Linked DNA regions of Canis lupus familiaris. The protein of the gene in region 1 interacts with the protein of each later gene in a pairwise test. Links are inferred from orthologs where the notes say so. Each region holds a gene or a part of one and is shown in the gene's direction. Other genes may lie near its edges. The genes, in order: GSK3B and BCL2L12.

Region 1 (3,811 bases):
ATTCAGTCCAAGTGAATAGTCAGATGTTACATGAGCCATTCTCATTAGGAAACCTTATTCCCAGTTCCTCCATCCTCATCACAATCTACATGTCCTTCCTTCACAATTTCCCTCCCTTTATACATATCTGCCTCTCTTTTTACATACATCTGTCCACTGCCACTACCACACCTTCTATTTGGTCTGTGTTCCACCTATCAAGGAATATGTTTCATTTTTCTTTAGTTTCAAAGGCTTTCTGTCCATCTGTTTATGTTTATTTGTTTTTCCCCTTTCTGATTCTATTCTTCAACTGTCTATAATTTAGAGCAAAGCTATTTTCATAGTTCTGTGTATTGATTTGGAGTTTTAAGGTAAAGATGTGTAGAAAGCTTTCTATTCTTTTAAGCAAACTAATTTATTTGAATTTTGCTTCAGCACAGCCTTCAGTTGACTTTTTCTAGAGTTAATGGCTCTTAATGAAAAGTACATTTCTCTCTCCCTAATTAAAACCCTAGAATATTCATCCAAATGAGGGTAATCTGACCATATTTGTAATAACAGCTACTCTTTGAGAAAACAGTTTTGGACATTTTGTCAAATTCTGGGTATTCAAGAATTTCTTCAAATAAGACTGTTTATTGAAGAGATAATAGCAGATCATTAGCATTGCTAAAGCTAAAGTAAATAGCTTTTTTCCCCAAAAAAATATTGATTGCCAAATTTGAGTAGTGCTGTCCATTACTGACAGTTGTTCTGCTAAAAATCACACACAAGAGGCAATCTTTTATTCTACTGCCACAGTAGTCAAAACTTTTAGAAAATTTTAATATTCTTCTAGTTGGTGCTTGCCTCCAGAACCCAGCCTTTCTTTGTGCCTATGATATCCTATTTTGTGTACATATTTCATTGTACTGCTTTATGATTAGCAAGTGTAGATTTTTTTTAATTTCCCCTAGTTTTTTCTCTGAGTTTTCCTCATATAGTTTGTAATTAGCTGTTCACCTCAATGTAGTGAATCATATGCAGTTAACTCTTTTCATTCTAGAAGGTTCCTCTCACAAATGCAACCATGTTGTTGTACGTGGTGGGAATTAACTCAGTACTCAAAGGATAATTTGCTAAGATTCTTACAATAAAGCATTAATTGTTCTTTACCTTTTTTTGTACTGCAGGTCTTCCGACCCCGGACTCCACCGGAGGCAATTGCACTGTGTAGCCGTCTGCTGGAGTATACACCAACTGCCCGATTGACACCACTGGAAGCTTGTGCACATTCATTTTTTGATGAATTAAGGGACCCAAATGTCAAACTACCAAATGGGCGAGACACACCTGCACTCTTCAACTTCACCACTCAAGGTAATTCCAGATACTTAGTTCTGTTTTTTACCATTTCTGAGAAAGCTACCTATCTGTGTGAGGTTATATTCTTTTAATTAAAATCTGTAGGACGAAAGTGGGCATATTAAGTACTTATACAGGTAGCAAACATCCCTTCCAACAACTGATTAGGCTACTACTTGTATGGTTTTAAACAAAATAGTGGCAGATAAAATTTTTTCCAGTAGACATAGCTTCTCTCATTTTTGGCAGATTATAATAAATCTTGGCACATGAGAAGTTATAGAGATTTCACTATTAAGTTAACCCTCAAGTTTGTATTTGAGACTAGAATTTTAGCATTTCTTACTTCCCAAGTGTTTATTTTTTTCCAAGTGTTTATATTAAGTTTTTTAAACCTGGAAATCAATTGGTGAAATTGGTGGTGACTGTATTTGTATAAAGTCAGATATCTTACTTATAAACAGAAGGAAACAATGGAATTCTATATAACTGTCTTTCTTAGAACTTGTATAAGAGATGTAGATAGAGAAATTCTCTTCCCTTGTGGAGCTTGGCACCATGGCTGCTTCTGAGAAAATACTGAGAGGAAAAAACAGAGTTTGTGTACTGGTGCTTTCTAAAAGACCCAGGAAGAATCATTGTTTCTTAATTACTTCTGTGTTCACTTTTCTTTCCTTTCAGATTAAGACCCTAAGTAATTCATTTAATCAACTACACTGCCTTCGATGCTGTGATTTTCTTCATAAACTGCACATTAAAAGTGTACAATTTCCTATAGATAAAACAAGCAAGAAGTGGTCAATTGATTGATTGGTCAGCTTAGTCAAGCTTAAAATATAGAAGGGAGATGGAAAGCTCTCTGTGACCAGGAAATAATTATATTTCCTTTATTCTAAGATGAATTCCCCCCCCCCCCCATATTTAAACTTTTCTAAATTTGAAAGTGGGAAAATGTATTGCTTAAGCAGTAGATGTGGAAGACCTCAGTTACTGGCAAAATAGACTTGGATGATTCCATTGACTATAATCTTAAGCAGTCAATAATGTGTAACTACTAGTAGTGCTGATACAGTCTGAAACTACATTCATAAAGGAAAAAATGTTCAGATATCCTGGGATTAATTCTGACTGTTTAGGGCTGATCAGAAATCACTGGAGTGTTGTTTTAGGTCCCAGCTATACCATTTTAAGATGTTATCAAATAGCAGGTGGGGTATGTAAAGGAACAGAATTCCACTTCCTGGAAAAGTGAAGACTTAAGGAACTTTTGAGAATGATGTAAAAATACCTCATAGATTATCTTCTGAAGAAAGATGTAGACCTGTATTCTTTCTCCTGATTATAAAATTGAAAATAGTAGTAGCAAAAAAATTAGAGAATAGTACATATTTGAGTTTATGATATCAGCCCCTGGCATAGATAGAGACTAAATAAAATTATTGATGAATCAGTAAAGTTTTCACTTATTTAACAGTGGAACAGGTTTCTTTGTTGTGCTTTTTATTTGTTGTTTTTTGTGTGTGTGGTTTTGTTTTTGTTGTTTGTTGTTCCCCACTCCATCCTACCACCATCCCCAAATACCAGTCTCTGTATTAGGAAAAAGCTGGATGATGTCAAATGTTATAGATAAGATTACTCCAATTTGGTAATACGTTAGACTCTTCTAGAGCAGATTCTGTGACTCTGTCATTAAAAAATTTTTTTTATTTTCAGTTTTTACTGTTTTGTCTTAAGAGTAGCACTATATATATTAAAGAAAATGTTGAAGATGCAAAAGAAGTATAGAGAACATTAAAATCACAATCCCCAAATGATCACTTTTAGCTTTTGAATTAATCACTGTAATATTTTATAGTCTAGCTCTTTTCAGTCTTTAATATATACTATGATAATCCATGAATATAAAGTGATACTCTACTCTCCCATTAAGAAGATACCAAAAGAAAAAGAAAAAAAAAAAAAAAGATCCCAAAAGGGTTTCTTGGGTTAACTCAAATGTATTTAAAATAATGAAAAAATAAATAAAATTATGCATTATATAAAATTAATATTCAGGAACTTTTTAACCTCAAATTTCATAAAACAATTTTATTAATACTTTTTATATGCATCTTTTACACCTGTTTCTTTCTCATCAGTAGAGCTATTTTTAAATTTTTTGATATGAAGCACCTTTTGAATCTATATGAAGCCACTACTGGAAATTCTACAAGTATCCATTTTCATAAATGTTTGGTTTGGGGTCTTTCTTTGTACTATAAGTATCTTTATTATCTGCACATAGAACTATCTGCTAGGTTGCTTTTTAAAGTGGCCTCTAAAAGGCTATGTATACAGTGACATGCAACACTTGTAACTGTGGAATCTTGGCATCAGAAACTACTAAGTTAATGTTAAATTATTTATCTCCTTTTTCTTTTTCTTTTTCCTTTTCCTTTTTCTTTTTTTCTTTTTCTTTTTCTATTCACCACTTTGATCAGGTGAA
Region 2 (4,492 bases), on another chromosome or scaffold:
CGCCTTGCGACATCCGTCCGCTGATCCTCCTAACCCTGCCCAGTCCTGTCCTAACTCCACTCACCTCCACCTGCCACCGTCAGCGCCGGCCGACCCTACGCAGGCTAACCCCTCCCTCTCGGCTCCGCCCCCTGGGAGTCCACCCCTCGGGTAGGTTAGCTCAGGGCTCCCCGGCGGCACGAAGCTCTCGCACCTGGAAGATGCCGAAGTCCTCCTGCTGGGCATCCTGCCGCAAGCCATGCTTCCAAGGGATGCGAAAGCGCGTGCGGCGCTCGTCCAGCCAGGCCACCCCCTCCAGCTGCCCTAGGTCCAGCTGTGACACCAGCCAGGGCAGGATCCGCGGTTTTGGGGTTCCCATGGTCCGGCCTGCGCTTAGAGGGCAGTTCGTGGGCGCGGATGGCCTCTTAGCTACCCGCCCCCACCCCCGAGGGTTCCGCTCCCAGACCTTCCTCTCATGGGGCGGCGGTGCAGCGTCCCTCACTTATATTTTCCTGGGGTATAAAACAAGACAACTCCTCTTTTCACCTCCAGACAGTCCCCCAAGTCAACGAGGACTTCCCGCCCAATCCATTTGAGACGGCCCGTCTTTCCCCACCTCCTCCTGAGCAGATCCTCTACCTCCCCAACTCAGCCAGGGTAGATTCTTCCCTCTTCCGTTGTAAACCCTCTCCTCCCCTCCCCTCCCCCACATCACCTAAGGCAGTCACCTCCGCGTCCAAGGTAGAGACTCCCCTGGTTATTTCAGGGCAGACGTTATTACCTTGTAGATCTCTACCTCCCGCACTTATCTGTGTTGCGGACTCCTACAGAAGAGCCCCTCACCCATTTCCACGGTGGACCCTCCATCCACCATCCTTCCCCCCAAACAGCTTCCTTCCTCTAGGGCACCCCCCCCCCACACATACTCTATAGAGTGGACTGCCTCCCATTTTCAGAGTCTGCTCTTCTCTGCCTTAGATCCCCCCATGCAGACGCCTCCCCCCCGCCCCCGCTACTACTTTTTATTTCACAGCCGACCTCCGGCAGCGGCCATAGCTTCACTTTTACTCGAACTCTGCTTCACCTTCCCTAGAGTACACCTTGCTCCTCTAGACTCAGGGCAGACCCAGCACGTCTCGCGTTTCTCGCCCCGGGCGCCACCAATTCCCCAGATCTTCCCAGTTACCTACGTAGAGGGTCGGGGCGCTCAGGGTGCTAGAACCCGCCCCTGCCTTTGGGGTCCGATAACTCTCGAACTTGCAGCTGCACACCCTACTTCCCGTCAGCTGAGCTTCAGAGAAAGAGGGTTTTCTTTTCTATCGATTTCATAAAACAAAAACAACTTTATCTGCGATTGGTTGACAAGACTCCAGAGCCAAAGAGGCGGCACCAAGAACCCGGACGCCCCCGGTTCTCCCCTCCCCCCCCGCTATGCCCTTTATAGGTCTTCCGGCCAAAGGCATGCTGGGAACGCCACATGCAAATCAGATGGGTATCCAGCGCTCCGCCCCTCCCACTACGGGGCTGACACCAACCCGGCCCAGTGCGCAGGCGCGGGAAAGTTGCACTAATAAAAGTTTGCTCAAGTTCGGTGAAGGAGAGGGGGTCGGCGGCTTCCCGGCCCCAGGTAAGCTGGGCTTTTGTGCAGGCTGGGGCGAGAAGGGAAAAGGACGGGTCTAGGAGCGGGCACCTCAGTCCCGCTTCCTGGACATCTATGCACCCCGGGTCCCCAAGATTCCAGCGTGGGTCAGATAATGGAACTACACTTCCCAAGGAGGCTGCGCGGCGCACAAGTGCGGACCGAGGGGAAGGTTTGCCATGAAGCCTGCTGGGATTCGTAGTTCCTGATTCTCTAAGAGCATGAGCGGCTTGGCGTTATGCCTCCAGAAACCAGAAGTCGTTGCCCCAAGTTCCGTTCTTTCTCAGACTCAACAATTCAGATCCTCCAGCCCCCTTCTCCAAAAAATCTTCAGAGTCCAGCCCCCAGTCTTTTGACCCCAGGAACCCGGGTCCCTAAGCCTCTTCCTCTCCAAGGATCAAGGAGTCTTCGGCCTCATCGCTCTTCTCCCTCTGAGAACTCAAGAGTCTGGGTCCCCAGACCCTAACTCCCCTAAAGGATTTAGGAGTTGAGACTCTCACCCCCTTCTTCCTTCGGGAATTCGTGGGTCCTGGCGCCCTCCTTATTCAGGGACTAGGCATTTGGGCACCAATCCTCCACTTCAGTTCAACCCTGGAGCCCATCCCCCAGCTCCCTTTTTCACAGGTGCCCCCATGGCAGGCTCAGAAGAGCTGGGGCTCCGGGAGGACACGCTGAGAGTCCTAGCTGCCTTCTTTAGGCGAGGTGAGGCTGCTGGGTTCCCCAGCCCTACCCCACCCAGGTAAGAGGAGCTGCCTTCTTTCCGCTGGGGCCTGCATTTGGGGTGGGGCCCTCTCTAACTTTTGTACCTGGTCTCTGTCTGCGTTCCCCTCTTTTATATCTGGCCCTTTATCCTTGTCCCTGGGGTTGCAGTGACAGGCCCTCAGTGGGAGGAAGAAGGGACTGCTTGCAAGGGGCCTCTGCAGTCATTCTCTGAGGTCCCCTTCCCCAGGAGTCCTGCCCAGGAGGAGCCAACAGATTTCCTGAGCCGTCTTCGAAGATGTCTTCCCTGTCCCCTGGGGCGAGGAGCAGACCCCCCTGTGTCCCCTCGGCCTTGCTCCTTGCCCCTCCGCCCATGCTATGTTTCAGAGCCTGGTAAGAGATTTTCCTAGATCACCTGGACACCGGCAGGGCCAAAACTTTGAACCTTTTTTTTTTTTTTTTTTTTTTTTTAAGATTTTATTTATTTATTCATGAGAGGCACACAGAGAGAGGCAGAGATACAGGCAGAGGGAGAAGCAGGCTCCCTGCAGGGAGCCCAATGCAGGACTCGATCCTGGAACTCCAGGATCAAGGCCTGAGCCAAAGGCGGATGCTCAACCACTGAGCCACCCAGACGTCCCCAGGAGCTTTGATTCTCAAAGCATAGAAAGGAGAAGGAGCTAGTCCAAGATCACTCAGCTAAGACAGGAGCTAGGGTGAGGACTCCCCTCACCACTCTCTGATCCCCCACCTCCACCCCCAGTTATTGCTGTCTCTCAATTCTGTGAGCTGGCTTCAGGGGGCTTTGTCCTTTTCTGCTTATCTCTCCTCCTGTGCATGCTTCCCTACTTCTAGGACTTTATTGCCACTAGTATCCCCCCATCATCCTAGGGAGGCAGGAGACCTGGTTTTCGGTCACGGATCCCTGGCTGTTCGGTTACACAACTCAGGGAAATTCAATTTCTTTTTTGCTCCTATGCTTCCTCAGAAGTAAAGTAGCAATGTGTGCCTATGTGTGCATGTGAGAGTGGGAGGGGGTGTTGTTGGATTCCATTAAGAGTAACCAAAAGGAACTGAGAGTAACCAAAAACTCCTATGTAAGCCTCCATAGACTAGGAAATGGCTACTGGGAGTGCTAGCTTGAAAAGAAAAGGATTTCACAGCAGGGAGGAAAGATCTGTGATCAATTGATGAGGCCTGAGAACGGCAAGGGATACCGTGGTAATAGCTGGGGTGCCCTGTGTTTGCCTTTCTTGGATAGGATATTCTTTTTTTTTTTTTTTAAGATTTTATTTATTTATTCATGAGAGTCATACACACAGAGAGAGGGAGAGACACAGGCAGACGGAGAAGCAGGCTCCATGCAGGGAGCCTGACGTGGGACTTGATCCTGGGTCTCCAGGATCACACCCTGGGCTGAAGGCAGCACTAAACTGCTGAGCCACCGGGGCTGCCCTAGAATATTCTTTCAAGGTCTAGTTCACCTCTAACATTCTAAGTCTAGTTTGGGCAACACAATAAAATGGGAAGTACAAAGCCCTTTGGCAAGTGCACTCACTGCCTCAGTTTACCCCATTAGGAAATGGAAATCAGTGCTCCCTGGCAAGATGGTTGGGACAAGAAGAGAATCCATGGGTTCCTGATGTCCCAGAGACCCATCACTGGCTCTTTTCACTCCAGGCCCAGCCACTTCCGATTTCTATGCTCTGGTGGCCCAGCGGCTGGAACAACTGGTCCAAGAGCAGCTGAGATCCCCACCTAGCCCAGGTGAGATACAGAGGGGCCCCGGAGAAGGGTGAGGGTGGAAGGGTTGGCAGGGTTCTGCCTCCAGCTGAATTCTCTCCTGCATCCCTAACCCCCAGAGTTACAGGGTCCCCCCCTCACAGAGAAGGAAGCCCTACTGCGGAAGCTGGTTGCCTTGCTGGAGGAAGAGGCTGAAGTCATCAACCAGAAGGTACCAGGCAGTCTGTTCCATCCCTTAGCTGGGATAGGGATTGCGGGATGGTTGAGCTCTGGGATCAGAACCTAGGTCTGCATTCTCATTAGATGGTCAGGTGAGGAGACGGTGGGACTCGGCTTCTATGAAGGGTCTGTAAGGGGCTCCAAGCTCATTCTGCTTGCAGCACCGTGGGTCAGGAAGTCAAGAGGCAAGATGTTGGGGTAAGGAAAGTGATT

What was found.
Region 2: the proteins of GSK3B (region 1) and BCL2L12 interact in a two-hybrid assay, tested with the Homo sapiens proteins (2 studies listed by BioGRID and IntAct). The link is inferred for Canis lupus familiaris from reciprocal best matches to the Homo sapiens genes GSK3B and BCL2L12.

Annotation. Positions count from the first base shown.
Region 1 is NC_049254.1:24,131,176-24,134,986, reverse strand, and holds part of GSK3B (glycogen synthase kinase-3 beta), read left to right. Parts: intron 1-1,154; coding exon 1,155-1,341; intron 1,342-3,811. UniProt on the Homo sapiens protein: Constitutively active protein kinase that acts as a negative regulator in the hormonal control of glucose homeostasis, Wnt signaling and regulation of transcription factors and microtubules, by phosphorylating and inactivating glycogen synthase (GYS1 or GYS2), EIF2B, CTNNB1/beta-catenin, APC, AXIN1, DPYSL2/CRMP2, JUN, NFATC1/NFATC, MAPT/TAU and MACF1.
Region 2 is NC_049222.1:107,547,033-107,551,524, reverse strand, and holds the start of BCL2L12 (bcl-2-like protein 12), read left to right. Parts: upstream 1-1,453; 5' UTR 1,454-1,467; coding exon 1,468-1,606; intron 1,607-2,242; coding exon 2,243-2,357; intron 2,358-2,567; coding exon 2,568-2,710; intron 2,711-3,997; coding exon 3,998-4,084; intron 4,085-4,179; coding exon 4,180-4,271; intron 4,272-4,492. Other genes in the region: IRF3 (interferon regulatory factor 3), read right to left, coding at 194-358.